Linked DNA regions of Rattus norvegicus. The protein of the gene in region 2 purifies or fractionates together with the protein of the main gene of each other region. This does not show direct contact. Links are inferred from orthologs where the notes say so. Each region holds a gene or a part of one and is shown on either strand. Other genes may lie near its edges. The genes, in order: Psme4, Psmb1 and Fbxo7.

Evidence for each region.
Region 1: the proteins of Psmb1 (region 2) and Psme4 purify together in Homo sapiens (affinity purification with mass spectrometry; 3 studies listed by BioGRID and IntAct, counting the BioPlex papers as one, with this or other methods). This does not show direct contact. The link is inferred for Rattus norvegicus from reciprocal best matches to the Homo sapiens genes PSMB1 and PSME4.
Region 3: the proteins of Psmb1 (region 2) and Fbxo7 purify together in Homo sapiens (affinity purification with mass spectrometry; 3 studies listed by BioGRID and IntAct, counting the BioPlex papers as one, with this or other methods). This does not show direct contact. The link is inferred for Rattus norvegicus from reciprocal best matches to the Homo sapiens genes PSMB1 and FBXO7.

The regions. Positions count from the first base shown.
Region 1 is NC_086032.1:108,772,469-108,776,193, forward strand, and holds part of Psme4 (proteasome activator complex subunit 4), read left to right. Parts: intron 1-205; coding exon 206-335; intron 336-1,785; coding exon 1,786-1,867; intron 1,868-3,360; coding exon 3,361-3,514; intron 3,515-3,725. UniProt on the Homo sapiens protein: Associated component of the proteasome that specifically recognizes acetylated histones and promotes ATP- and ubiquitin-independent degradation of core histones during spermatogenesis and DNA damage response.
Region 2 is NC_086019.1:65,132,817-65,136,416, reverse strand, and holds the start of Psmb1 (proteasome subunit beta type-1), read left to right. Parts: upstream 1-873; 5' UTR 874-1,111; intron 1,112-1,496; 5' UTR 1,497-1,664; coding exon 1,665-1,774; intron 1,775-3,581; exon of another isoform or gene 3,582-3,600. UniProt on the Homo sapiens protein: Non-catalytic component of the 20S core proteasome complex involved in the proteolytic degradation of most intracellular proteins. This complex plays numerous essential roles within the cell by associating with different regulatory particles.
Region 3 is NC_086025.1:19,722,480-19,726,304, forward strand, and holds the start of Fbxo7 (F-box only protein 7), read right to left. Parts: upstream 2,702-3,825; 5' UTR 2,669-2,701; coding exon 2,547-2,668; exon of another isoform or gene 2,399-2,546; coding exon of another isoform or gene 2,362-2,398; intron 2,304-2,361; exon of another isoform or gene 2,130-2,303; intron 299-2,129; coding exon 4-298; intron 1-3. UniProt on the Homo sapiens protein: Substrate recognition component of a SCF (SKP1-CUL1-F-box protein) E3 ubiquitin-protein ligase complex which mediates the ubiquitination and subsequent proteasomal degradation of target proteins and plays a role in several biological processes such as cell cycle, cell proliferation, or maintenance of chromosome stability.

The DNA.
Region 1 (3,725 bases), on a different chromosome or scaffold from region 2:
TGCTTCAGTAGGCCTGTCTTAATTCTTGAGAAACTTGAAATTATGTCAAACAGAGTTATGCAGGGTTTCACACACCTGTGATCCCAGTTTTCAGGAGTCTGAGGCTACAAAGCAAAGAAAAAGTTTCAGAACAGATTCTTGTTTTAAGTGGGTTTTAAGAGGAATCTGATTTGTAAGTACCTTCTCTCATTCTCTCAACTACCAGGCCTTGGAAATTTGAGCATATAGGAATCGGGCTTCTGTCTTTACTCCTAAGGGATGACAGAGTGTTGCCTCTTCGTGCCATACGTTTTTTTGTTGAAAATCTCAACCATGATGCAATCGTTGTTCGAAAGGTACATACTTTACTTATTTTGGTTACTGTGTTCGGTTTGAGAATATCTACCTCAACAAACTCTTTAAATTCTTCATAGACAACGTCTAACCAGTACCTTGAAAGGAATGATTTAGCATCTCCTTCTGTTTGCTCAGAAACAGTAATAACTTGTTCAACAAATATTGGGAGGCATAATCAGGCATTTTATACATTTAATGCTGTAGCTATAACAAGAATAAACTTACAGACTAATAGGAAAGTTTGACTTTTAAAAATTCAAAAATCCATTTTGCAAGCAGAGGGTCAAATCTAAGGGTTCAATTTTTGGCTTTGTTCTAAAAGTGTTACAAATGAGCTTGAAGAAGGATTCTGGCTTTGTCCACTTCTGGAAGAAACCCATTAAAAGGCCCAGAGGCCAACACAAACGGGATGAGCTACTGTTGACCTAAAAAGGAAGGGCAGTTCTTTGAGCAGAGGTTCAAAGGTGGACACACTGGTAGATTCCTAGTTGAATGTTTGTGCTCCTCCCACCAGTGGCAAGTGGTAGACAGTATATTCCTTTAGTTAATTAACTCTTAACTCTTTATCTAAATATCTACTCTCTCTCTCTCTCTCTCTCTCTCTCTCTCTCTCTCTCTCTCTCTCACACACACACACACACACACACACACACACACACACACACACACAAAACACTGCAGTATATTGTGGCAGTCAAAGGACAGCTCCTGGGAGATAGGTCTCTACTTGCACTGATGGATTGGATGATCAGATTGAACTCGGTCATTGAGCTTATGCAGCAGAGCCATCCAGCGAAGCCTAACGTGTTCATGTGCACTTTTTTGGTTAATTTCTCCAATAACCTCTCACCTGGTATTACCCTTTCCACTTTCAAATCTTCTGTTTTGCCACCCCCTCTTTCCCATTTTCTTACAACCTTTCCCCTCTCGTGTCCCCTTTCTAGCATCATGACTTCTTTTTCTCGGGCTCACTGTACATAAATAACTTGTTTATAAATTAGAAGCTATGGATCTGTATAAAAGACGGCAATGTATTGGTTGTCTTTCTACGTCCGGGATACTTTACTTACTATGATTTCTACATCCATTTGTGAATACCATTTTTCCATTTATGGTTGAGTAAAATTTCACTTATGTGTAGCACATTTTCATTATCTGTCTGTTGATGGACATCCAGGCTGATTCCACTTCGTTGCCATTGTCAGAAGTACACCATTGAACATAGATACACAAGTATCTTTGTGACAGGATACAGAGTTCTTTGGGGGACCTAGTCTTTGAGAAACTTCTGCACAGAGTCTGCATGAGTTTACACTCCTACCTAGAGAGAATATAAGCTCCTTTTGGGAGGAGGGTTTTTTGAAAATAAAATCAGTTTTTACTATGGTACAGCATGTCATAAGAGAGTTTTTTCAAAATGTTGATATAAACGTGTTAACCTGTTTGTAGATGGCTATCTCAGCTGTTGCTGGTATTCTCAAGCAGCTAAAGAGAACTCACAAAAAGCTGACCATCAACCCTTATGAAATCAGTAAGTAATACCCCAAGTAAATAACAATGCCTTTAAATAACACGTAGAACATTTCCTGAGTATTCACAGGGTTAGGAGTGGTAGCACAGGGAGAAAGGTTCAGATTTCAAAAGTCAGCTTGAGCTGTGTTAACATAATCCATTGAGTATTTCTGAGCAAGAAGATTAGAAAAGATCTACTTTTCTTACTGTGTTCTTGGAATTTTCCCCCTTTATATTTATTTACTTATTTTTTTGTTCTTTTGTTTTTTTGAGACAGGGTTTCTGGGTGTCCTGGAACTTACTCTGTAGACTAGAGTGGCTCAAACTCAAGAGATCCACCTTCCTCTGCCTCCCAAGTGCTGGGATTAAGGCATGCACCACTGCCCTGAAAGTGTAATATTTTAATTTTGGATTAGACTATAGTCTACAGAAAAATGTCTCAAGAAACTTTCTTTTGAAATAAAGAACATACATGTGGATAAATGGACTAAAATTTTAGTAAGGTGTGTTGATAAAATTAATGACACAGAATCAATGTTAATTTAATTATTTTGAGAACTGTTTTGATATATAAAAGAACATTCTTAGGAAATACTTTTGTATTCTGTACTGTGGGGTGTAGAGACATTATGAGAGCAATTCCCATAAAACAATTCCAATATGTATGTGTGTAGGGAAAGAGAATATGTTAAAATATCTATAGGGTAATGTGTAAAAGTATGAGGACTGTAAGTGAAGAATAATGTTAAAAAATTCCTTGAGCTTTGTAAAAAGCTTGAAATTAATTCAGAACCAAATGTTTTAACGAGCCCTTATAATTTAGTAATCATATTCTCCTAACAGTTAACAATCCCAAATCCATATATCCCATCTTTCCCTCAATAGTTCAACATAAACCCCCTTTCCCTCCTCAAACTCCCACCTGACCCTTTCTCCTAACCCTAACCTTACCCATGCCAATTCTTTTCATATTTGTGTACACGGGTGCACATATGCCATCATGTTTATGTGGAGGTCAAAGTACAACAATGAGTTTTTCTCTCTTAACCGTGTGGGTCAGGGTGCTTGAACGCAGGCTACTATGCTTGTTAACAGGTATCTTTACCTGGTGAGCCATATAGACAATAATATGGTCTTTTAAAGACATTATTTAAAAGTGATTTCTTGTTAAGTGTTGCAGGTAGAGCTAGAGAGGAAGCTCAGTGTTTATGTACATACATTATTTTTATGCAAGAACCAAGTTCTATTTCCTGCACCCATATCAGGCAGTGCACAACTATAATTTATACAAGTATATATTTTTAAGGGAGTTATAGTCAGAGAATGGTAGTGCATATCTCATCCCAATACTTTCGAGGCAGAGGCAGGTGGATCTTTGAGTTCTAGACCAGCAAAGGCTATAAAGTGACACTGCCTTTTTAAAAGAAGGTAGTAGAATTATGTATTGGAAGTCTGGAACAGCTAATGGAGTTATTGTTTTCAAATTATTAAATCTGAATACCTTTTCTTTAGGTGGATGTCCTAAACCTGCCACAGTTCTTGCTGGTGATAGACCTGATAACCATTGGTTGCATTATGATAGCAAAAATATACCAAGAACAAAAAAAGAATGGGAGTCAAGTTGCTTTGTTGAAAAAACTCACTGGGGATACTACAACTGGCCAAAGTAAGCCATGGTCCTCCACCACCCCCTTCCTTATCATTGAATGTTTTTTTTTTCTTTTTTGTTGAACTTAATTTTGTTAGATCCAATTCTAGGTTCAGAGTCACTTTTAAAGGCCTTTTCCTTCTTCCTGTTTTTCTTGAGCTCCTCCCAATGCTGTGCTTCATTTCTTCCCAGTTGTTACACTGCAGTTCTGAGCTTTCCTTAGTGCCAT
Region 2 (3,600 bases):
TCTCGACTGGAGCCCGGCTTGTTGTGCTTAAACTGTGAGACACTCGTGAAAGAAAGGGGTTGGGTTGGTGTCCCAGCATTTTCGGGACCAGGCCTCTGACCGCCCTTTCTAGCTGTCAAAGAGAGATGTAGAGTGTGTAGCGGGAACAGTATTGGGGATGTGGCTATGGGGATCAGGCTCAAGCAAGCGTTCTACCACTGAACTGTATACATCCTCGATCTTCCACGTGTTGTTTTTGTTTTTTTGAGAGTTTCTCCTTGTCGCTCTGGCTGTCTTGGGACTCACTCTTGTAGAACAGGCTGGTCTTGAACTCAAGAGATCGCTTGGCAAGCTCACTGGGTCCTCCACTTTGCTCTGTAGAGTTGAATGATAGTAGTAGTTGCCTCTTAGAGATTTGTGAGATGGATAACGTGAATGGCAAGCAGACGCTTCTTATTATGTTCTCAGTAAATGTCAACTTGCGTCCAAAGAGGAACAGCAAAACAAGCGGCTTTGTAGTCACAGACTCATTTCTATTTTAACTCTGCTACTACCAGCTCTCGTCCTTGCTGTCACAAGAAAACGTCAGCTGTTTCTTAGACTGGTTCTTAATGCTTGATTTGATTCCAACATACCTTAATTTTTTCCTTCCATGGTTCACCTAGGCATATACATGTGTTGTTGTGCTTACTCCCCCCCCCCCCGGTGTGTGTGTGTGTGTGTGTGTGTGTGTGTGTGTGTGATAGAGAGAAAGAGAAAGAGAGAGAGAGAGAGAGAGAGAGAGAGAGAGAGAGAGAGAGAGAAGAGAATCTGTGTGTTGTGTATAGCTGTTGAATAGGTTGCCATATGCATAGACTCTAATAAGTACAATAGTATTGTGTATCTATTTTCTCCTAAAGGAAACATTTTCTCTTGGAAGTACAGGAAACCACAGAAGACTGGGGAATTAAGAAAACTTAACAAAGGCCTGACAAGAGACAATTTATGGGAAGCAGATTTATTTTGGCTTAGTGCTTGAGGGGCTACAATCCAGGGGAGAGCATGACACCTGGACTGCATCCACAAATCGGAAGCATAAATTAGATAAATATTAGTTCGCTTCTTTATTTAGTCCGGAAATCCAGGCAATGAGGTGGTACTGCTTATATTTTGGTTGGGTCTTTCCTCTTCTATTAAACCTTCTTGAAACACCCGCATAGACATGCCCATGGGTTTTACCTAGGTGATGCTAAATTCTGTGAAGTTAACAATATTAACCATCAGATTCTGACTGGAAACCTAGTATTGCTTCCTGGGTCTCATGGCTGCATACACCACACAGTTGACTACGCATCCCGATTCTCAGGCCTTGAATGCAGCAGGAACCACTAACCCTTCCCAAACGCTATGCCACTTCACCAATGTGACATCCGAGTTGTCGTTACTCTGTAATTGGGTTAATTTGTTGGTATAGTCGGACTTTTAATTTTCTATCCGCCATGAGTAAATCCAAATGTTTTCTTGGGATTATAAAACAGGTCTCTCGGAATCGGCAGATCCAGGTTGTGCGGTAGTTGGATGCAGGCGTGGACCTCCAAGAGCAGCGACGAGTACAGGCTAGAGGAGCCCAAGGGGCGGGGCGAGGGAGGCGGAAGTGGACCGGTCCCAGCGGCCATTTTGCCGTGAGACAGCAGGAGTTAGGCGCGATGCTTTCCACTGCCGCTTACCGGGACCCGGACCGAGAGCTGGTAATGGGGCCTCAGGGCTCCGCCGGCCCTGTGCAGATGCGTTTCTCGCCTTATGCCTTCAACGGAGGGTAAAATCCTGGGTGTGCTGCGCTCATCTTGGTTGAGTCCTGGGGTCGCTGCGGGCGGGTGTGGGAATGGCGGAGATGTAGCCTGCTGCCCGGCACTCCAGAGTTGTGCATGAACGCCCTTGGTGCCGTTTGCTTCAGCAGGGCGGGTCCCACTTTAACTCTTAGCTCTATGGGCTATCGTTTGGTAGGGCTTAAACACGTTTCTAAAGCCAGCGCGTGAACATGAAGTTATGAATTGTCTTGATTGTTAGACGAGTAGCTGTTTATTATCGCTGAGTCGTCTGATCATTTATTATATTAAAAGGAAAATAATATAATTAGCCAGACCTAATTCCAGGGATGAAAAGTTAAGGTGGTTCTACTCTTGAGAGACGTAATCTGCTGGGCAAGTTCTACTGAGCTGCATCCCCAGCCTTAGACAGTCGGACCCTTTGTGTGTGTTTATTTTTACTCTCAAATTACTTGTGCATTTTAATCATCCGTTTTATTCGAAGGGATGGTCCTTTCAGTTATTTGAGCTACTTTATAGGTTGAGGAAGACTCAAAGTGGTTACTCTTTTTTTGTAAATTTCAAGCAGTTAAGTGAATATTTTATACTCTTAGTTCTTGGCTCTTGGCATTTTAAACAGCCCAGGTCATAGAGCTGGTGTGAATTAGAACTGGTTTTCAGTTCATAGCGTTCTCAGCCTTGTCCAGTTTCGGTTTGCTTTTCCAGTTGCTTAACTCTGCACGTGAACACTAAGTACTTACATCGTAAGGTGTGTTAATATAATAATTTCCAGGTGTTTCAAATGCAGTACTCACGATTCACTTTTTAACTCTCAGTTCTTACCTGTCACTTTGTTCATAGTTACTTAAACCTGCCTGATAAATAACCTTTCTCCTTTCTCTTTCATACCTTTTAGCATTTATTGCAACTAGCCCTTCATGCAGCTTCTGATTCTACAGTATATTAATTTCTCTTTGTAGCTTCCAGGTTTTGTTACTTTAGACCTTTACTTGCCTCATCCCTGGGAACATAATTCCCAAGTCTGTTTCTGTAACTTTATTTCTCAAAAGTCCCCTCAGTTCTGGCCTCGTTGTAAAACCATTTCTAACTGCATTTTCAGTTCTCAACATAACTCAAGTTAGTAAACAAAATAAGCGAGGTAGTTACTGCTACTCCTTCCTTGAACGGACCCCTTGTGATGATGTATGTCATCACCCTGCTTGGGTCAGTTTAAAGGGGTGGGGTATGTTGTTTTCCTCACTAAGCACATTTAGGGAGTAGTAAAACCTTGGTTGCACACAGTGGTATTGTATTTGAATTTGTCCTTCTTCCTCTGTCATCCTTTCTCCCTTCTGTTTCACCACTTGTATTGGAGCAGTATTTATGTCCCATTTCACATGCTGTACTATTGTCAGAATTGTCCTAAAACCTCACTTTGCAAATGGAGCATTCTCATTCTTGTTCTTTGTGACCTTCAGGACTCCTTGCTAAAATTCTAAACTCTAGCTTGGCACAGTCCATCACATGAGGATTATGTCTCTGGTTACACAAAAATGACCACCTTAATTAAGTTGCCTGAGTGGCCTGTGGTGATACTTCTTTTTTCCTTCTGTTGCTGTTCATAGGTATTTGGAATGCCATTCTTTTTTGCTTTGGAATTTTAGTACAAAACTTGCCTCAGTAAAAATAGTAGGTAATGTTTTCTGGATGTTTATTTCCAAGAAGGAAATATGTTAGGTACTCTATGTAACTTGTGTGTTTAATTCTCACACCCTGTGTAACACAACAATACCGTGATTACCATCAGTTTGAACATGAAGATTTAAAAGTCACACAG
Region 3 (3,825 bases), on a different chromosome or scaffold from region 2:
CACCATACTGTCATCGGTCCAGGCATCATATTGGGTGACCTGTCCGTGGGATGAATCACTCCCTTGTTCATCTGGGATGTTAGCCTGGCTTGAGGTGGCAGCCAAAGGAGGTTGGTCATTATTCTGGAGAGAGGAATGCTCTGAATCTGTAGATGAAGGTAAGTTAGGTGCCGGCATTTCATCTTCAAGAACCAAACATATCAAGTCCCCAGAAACAATCCCATATGAAGCCAAGGTCTCTTCATCTCCAGTGAGGGCATCCTTGTTGTTCAATGTAATTGCAAATCGGGTATCAGAACTGCCAAGAAAGACGGATGAGCATAGTAAGAGCTACCTACCAATATTCCAAATAATGCATTTGGAATACATTAAAGTACATGCTATGTGCCCAAAAGCACTATGTAATATAAAAAAAAAAAGAAAGAAAGAAAGAAAGCAGGGGACAAAATTACTTGTTCTTCTGATCAAATGCCTGGGTCACAGACTTCTAACTAAAACTTCAATAGCCTGGAAGGTATACTTATCATTAATTCATATGTTCATCGATCCTCGAGCATATACTTTTCAGTATTTCAACATGGCTGAACTCGAGGAGCTTCTTAAACTTAACACACCACTTTACTTCCGGCTTCCCATCAGTGCGAGGACTTCAAACTCCGGTGCCAGGCTTGGGCATCAAAAGCTTTCACCACCTCCCCAGCCCGATTCCTTTTTCTTACACGCATCCTTTCCTTTCTCATCAATTAAAGATGTTACTGGAGTTAAATTTATTCCTACTCCACAGACAGTAAGCTGCTCTGCTTGCTGCTTGCAAAGTGTTCTGATCAGCAAGAAGCTGAAAATCTGCCAGTGCCCATGAAAACACCAGGTCAACCTTGGCAGGAAAGGGGACAGTCCCCAAGCAAACAATTCCTTCTGTAGACAAGATAAGGAGCCGTCTGTTTAACAGAGATGCTAGCTTCCCCTCCCACTTTTCTGGCATGTTTTTCCAAGGTCCTATTTTCTGTAATCACCGGCATTGGGGGAATTTCACCCAAAAAAAAATGCAATTCTAGAAGCTCCAAACAAAAACAAAAAGGAAAGAGGAAGCTTCAAACTTTAAAAAAAATCTGTTTTATACCAATCTTTGGTTTGCTTACTTAGAAAATACTCTTTAAGAACAACAAGTGTGTCACATGGACACATTTTAAAGCTTCCCTTTTGTACCCCAAATGAGCAAAATTTCAGATTTTCACACCGACCTCGACTGTGAAAACAGCAGGCAAGAGAAACTAACAGGGGCTTCTGGGTTTCACACCCTTTCAAAACTGCCCAGCTTAACTGAGAAGTAATACAATTTGTAAATACCTTAAAAATTGCATTCTCAAAGCCTGAGGAGTGGCAATTGTTATCAACATAGAAAACAGTTTTACACCAAATGAGTAACATGTAGGTAGGTCACCATTATATGGAAATATATATAATATACGATATGGGAATACATTGTTTAATTCTTTTAATGTGAAAAAGGGCTTTTTAAAATATTTTGCCTAACATTATTTTATTAGACAGGGTCTCACTGTGTAACACTGGCTGGTCCGGAATGAACTCAAAGATACACCTAGCTCTTCCTCCAGAGCGCTAGAATAAAGGTATACCTCAGGCTTACTTAATGGGGAGGGGTGGGGGGGTGACCAATCTAATCAGTTTCATTTTGCTTAATTCCCTACAAATAAAGTGAAAAGGGGAAGACTTATTTAAAATGCCAATTAACGGGAAGAGTTTTTCTTTTAACATTTTTCCCTTTAAAAGCACCAGAGCCCATCTTCTAATTTTATTTTCTTCACTAGTTCAAATTTCTAGCTCAGCACTTGAAATGGGTCATCCATATAGTTGTCTCTCTACGTCCTGAAAATATCTTCTACAGAAACATAGAAGCTTCATCTGCAACCCCATAAATTAGTAATAGAACCTAATCCTTTCTCAACTTGCCACAAAACTGCAAGCTCTATAGGGTCAAGCCTCTATTTTAGAGAAAAAGCAACAAACATTCTCACCCAGAAAATGCCCAGTGACCCGAAGAATGCGTACTTCCAAACCTTGCAGTGAGAAAGTTACAGTTAAGTGCAGTCTGGCACATGCACGCTCACCTGTTACTGTAGCCCTGGGCGGTGGCACAAATTACAGCGACGTAGGATGTCAAGAAGTTTGTCACTTCAGCTACGATGCTTTCCCCGACTTAACCACTGAAGTATCCTAACCGCTAAGGTAAATTCCACCCACAGTGGGTTTACACTGGGAGGTTTAACGCAAGCCAAGCTTCCCGAATTTCCCTCCCGCCCTCGGGGCGGCCGTGACAGCAACCCGGAAGTGACTACTCACCATGGTGGACAGCGGCACCAGGGGGAGGCTGGGCCATGGTCTCCCAAAGCCAGACCCCGGCCAGCACTCAGCTGCCGAGCGTCACAGTCACAGGCGTCTAGACCAGCTACGCCCCGGAGGCCCGGACCTCATGTGACCGCCCGACGCGCGCCATTCCCGAGCCCCGCGACCGCGACGCCGCTCACCTGAACCCCAACGTGGGCAGCAGGTCCTGGATGAGGTGCGCGCGCAGCTGCCCGAGCGTCGGCTCCGACTCCGGCACCTCGAGCGGCTGGGTCCGCTTTTGAAGCCGCACGCGCAGCTTCATGGTGAGCGGACCGCAAGCCTCGGTCGGCCCGGGGAGAAACCGAAAGCAAGTAGCTCCGGGCCTGCGCGCCTGAGGAATCCCAGCTCGCCGCTCTCTCCACCACGCCCCCTAGAGCCTTCTGCTCGAGCCGAGTGCCGAGCGCCTGCGCTTCTCTATCGGTGGCTCTGGGCGCGACAGCGCCACCTGGGGGGCGAGGCGCGCACGGCGCAGGCGCTGAGTTCGCTGCCTTGCGCCGAGTGCCCACGCTACACCCTGTGCGCTTCCGCCCGGGTGAGCGAGTTCGTTCTTTCGGTCCCAGCTTGCAGGATCTTTAGCGCTGGAACGAGCGCTGCCCACAGTGTGCAGACGTGACAGACGCCCTAACCTGATGGCCCTGGTTTTGCCTGTTCTATTCCGGTCATTAGTGCTCAGACCTGCCTATAATTTACATAGGTCCCCTGTGGTGATAAGGATGTGGAGCCAGGGATCCCTTAAGGGCTGTTGTCGGCCTGGGAGATCCTAGAGGCCTACAGGTGAGATAAGAATAGGACAATGGCCGTGAGGTATTAACAGCTGCCTTTGCTTCTTTAAAACTCACTATCGCTATGGGAAACAGATGAAATGATCTTTTAATTACTACATAGGGAAGATAAGAAGCAATTGAGGAAAGTAAAACAGTTTTCCTGCCCAGCTGTGGATTTCGTGAATAGTTGTAATATACACCTTTCTGATGTCCAATTTAAACCCCCCTCTTAATCCTTAGCCCCCCCCCTTCTCCCTATGGAATGTTGTTTTGGCTCTAAAGATGCCTGCCGTCTGCTAGCAGTAAGAATAAACTCACTTAATATAAATTTGAATTGAGCCTGAGTCTTTGGTCTCTCTCCATGGATTTGAAGGCCACAACAGTATAGCTCTCCACTTTCCAGGTTAAATCTTGATAAACCAGCCTGCCTTCATCTCAGGCTCAAACGACATCTTATAGTAAAAGCAAACTAGGTCCATTCCTGTTTATGATTACATTTCTCCTTCTCAAGGATTGGTCTATGTCCCACCTGTAAACATAACTACGAATGGCTCTGTACTGCCCCATGCCTTTATTACAAAAGGTTATTATGACAACCTGTTGCTATGACAAACCCGCTGTGAACCCCTTGCAAACCATGTCTTCATTTCAAGAG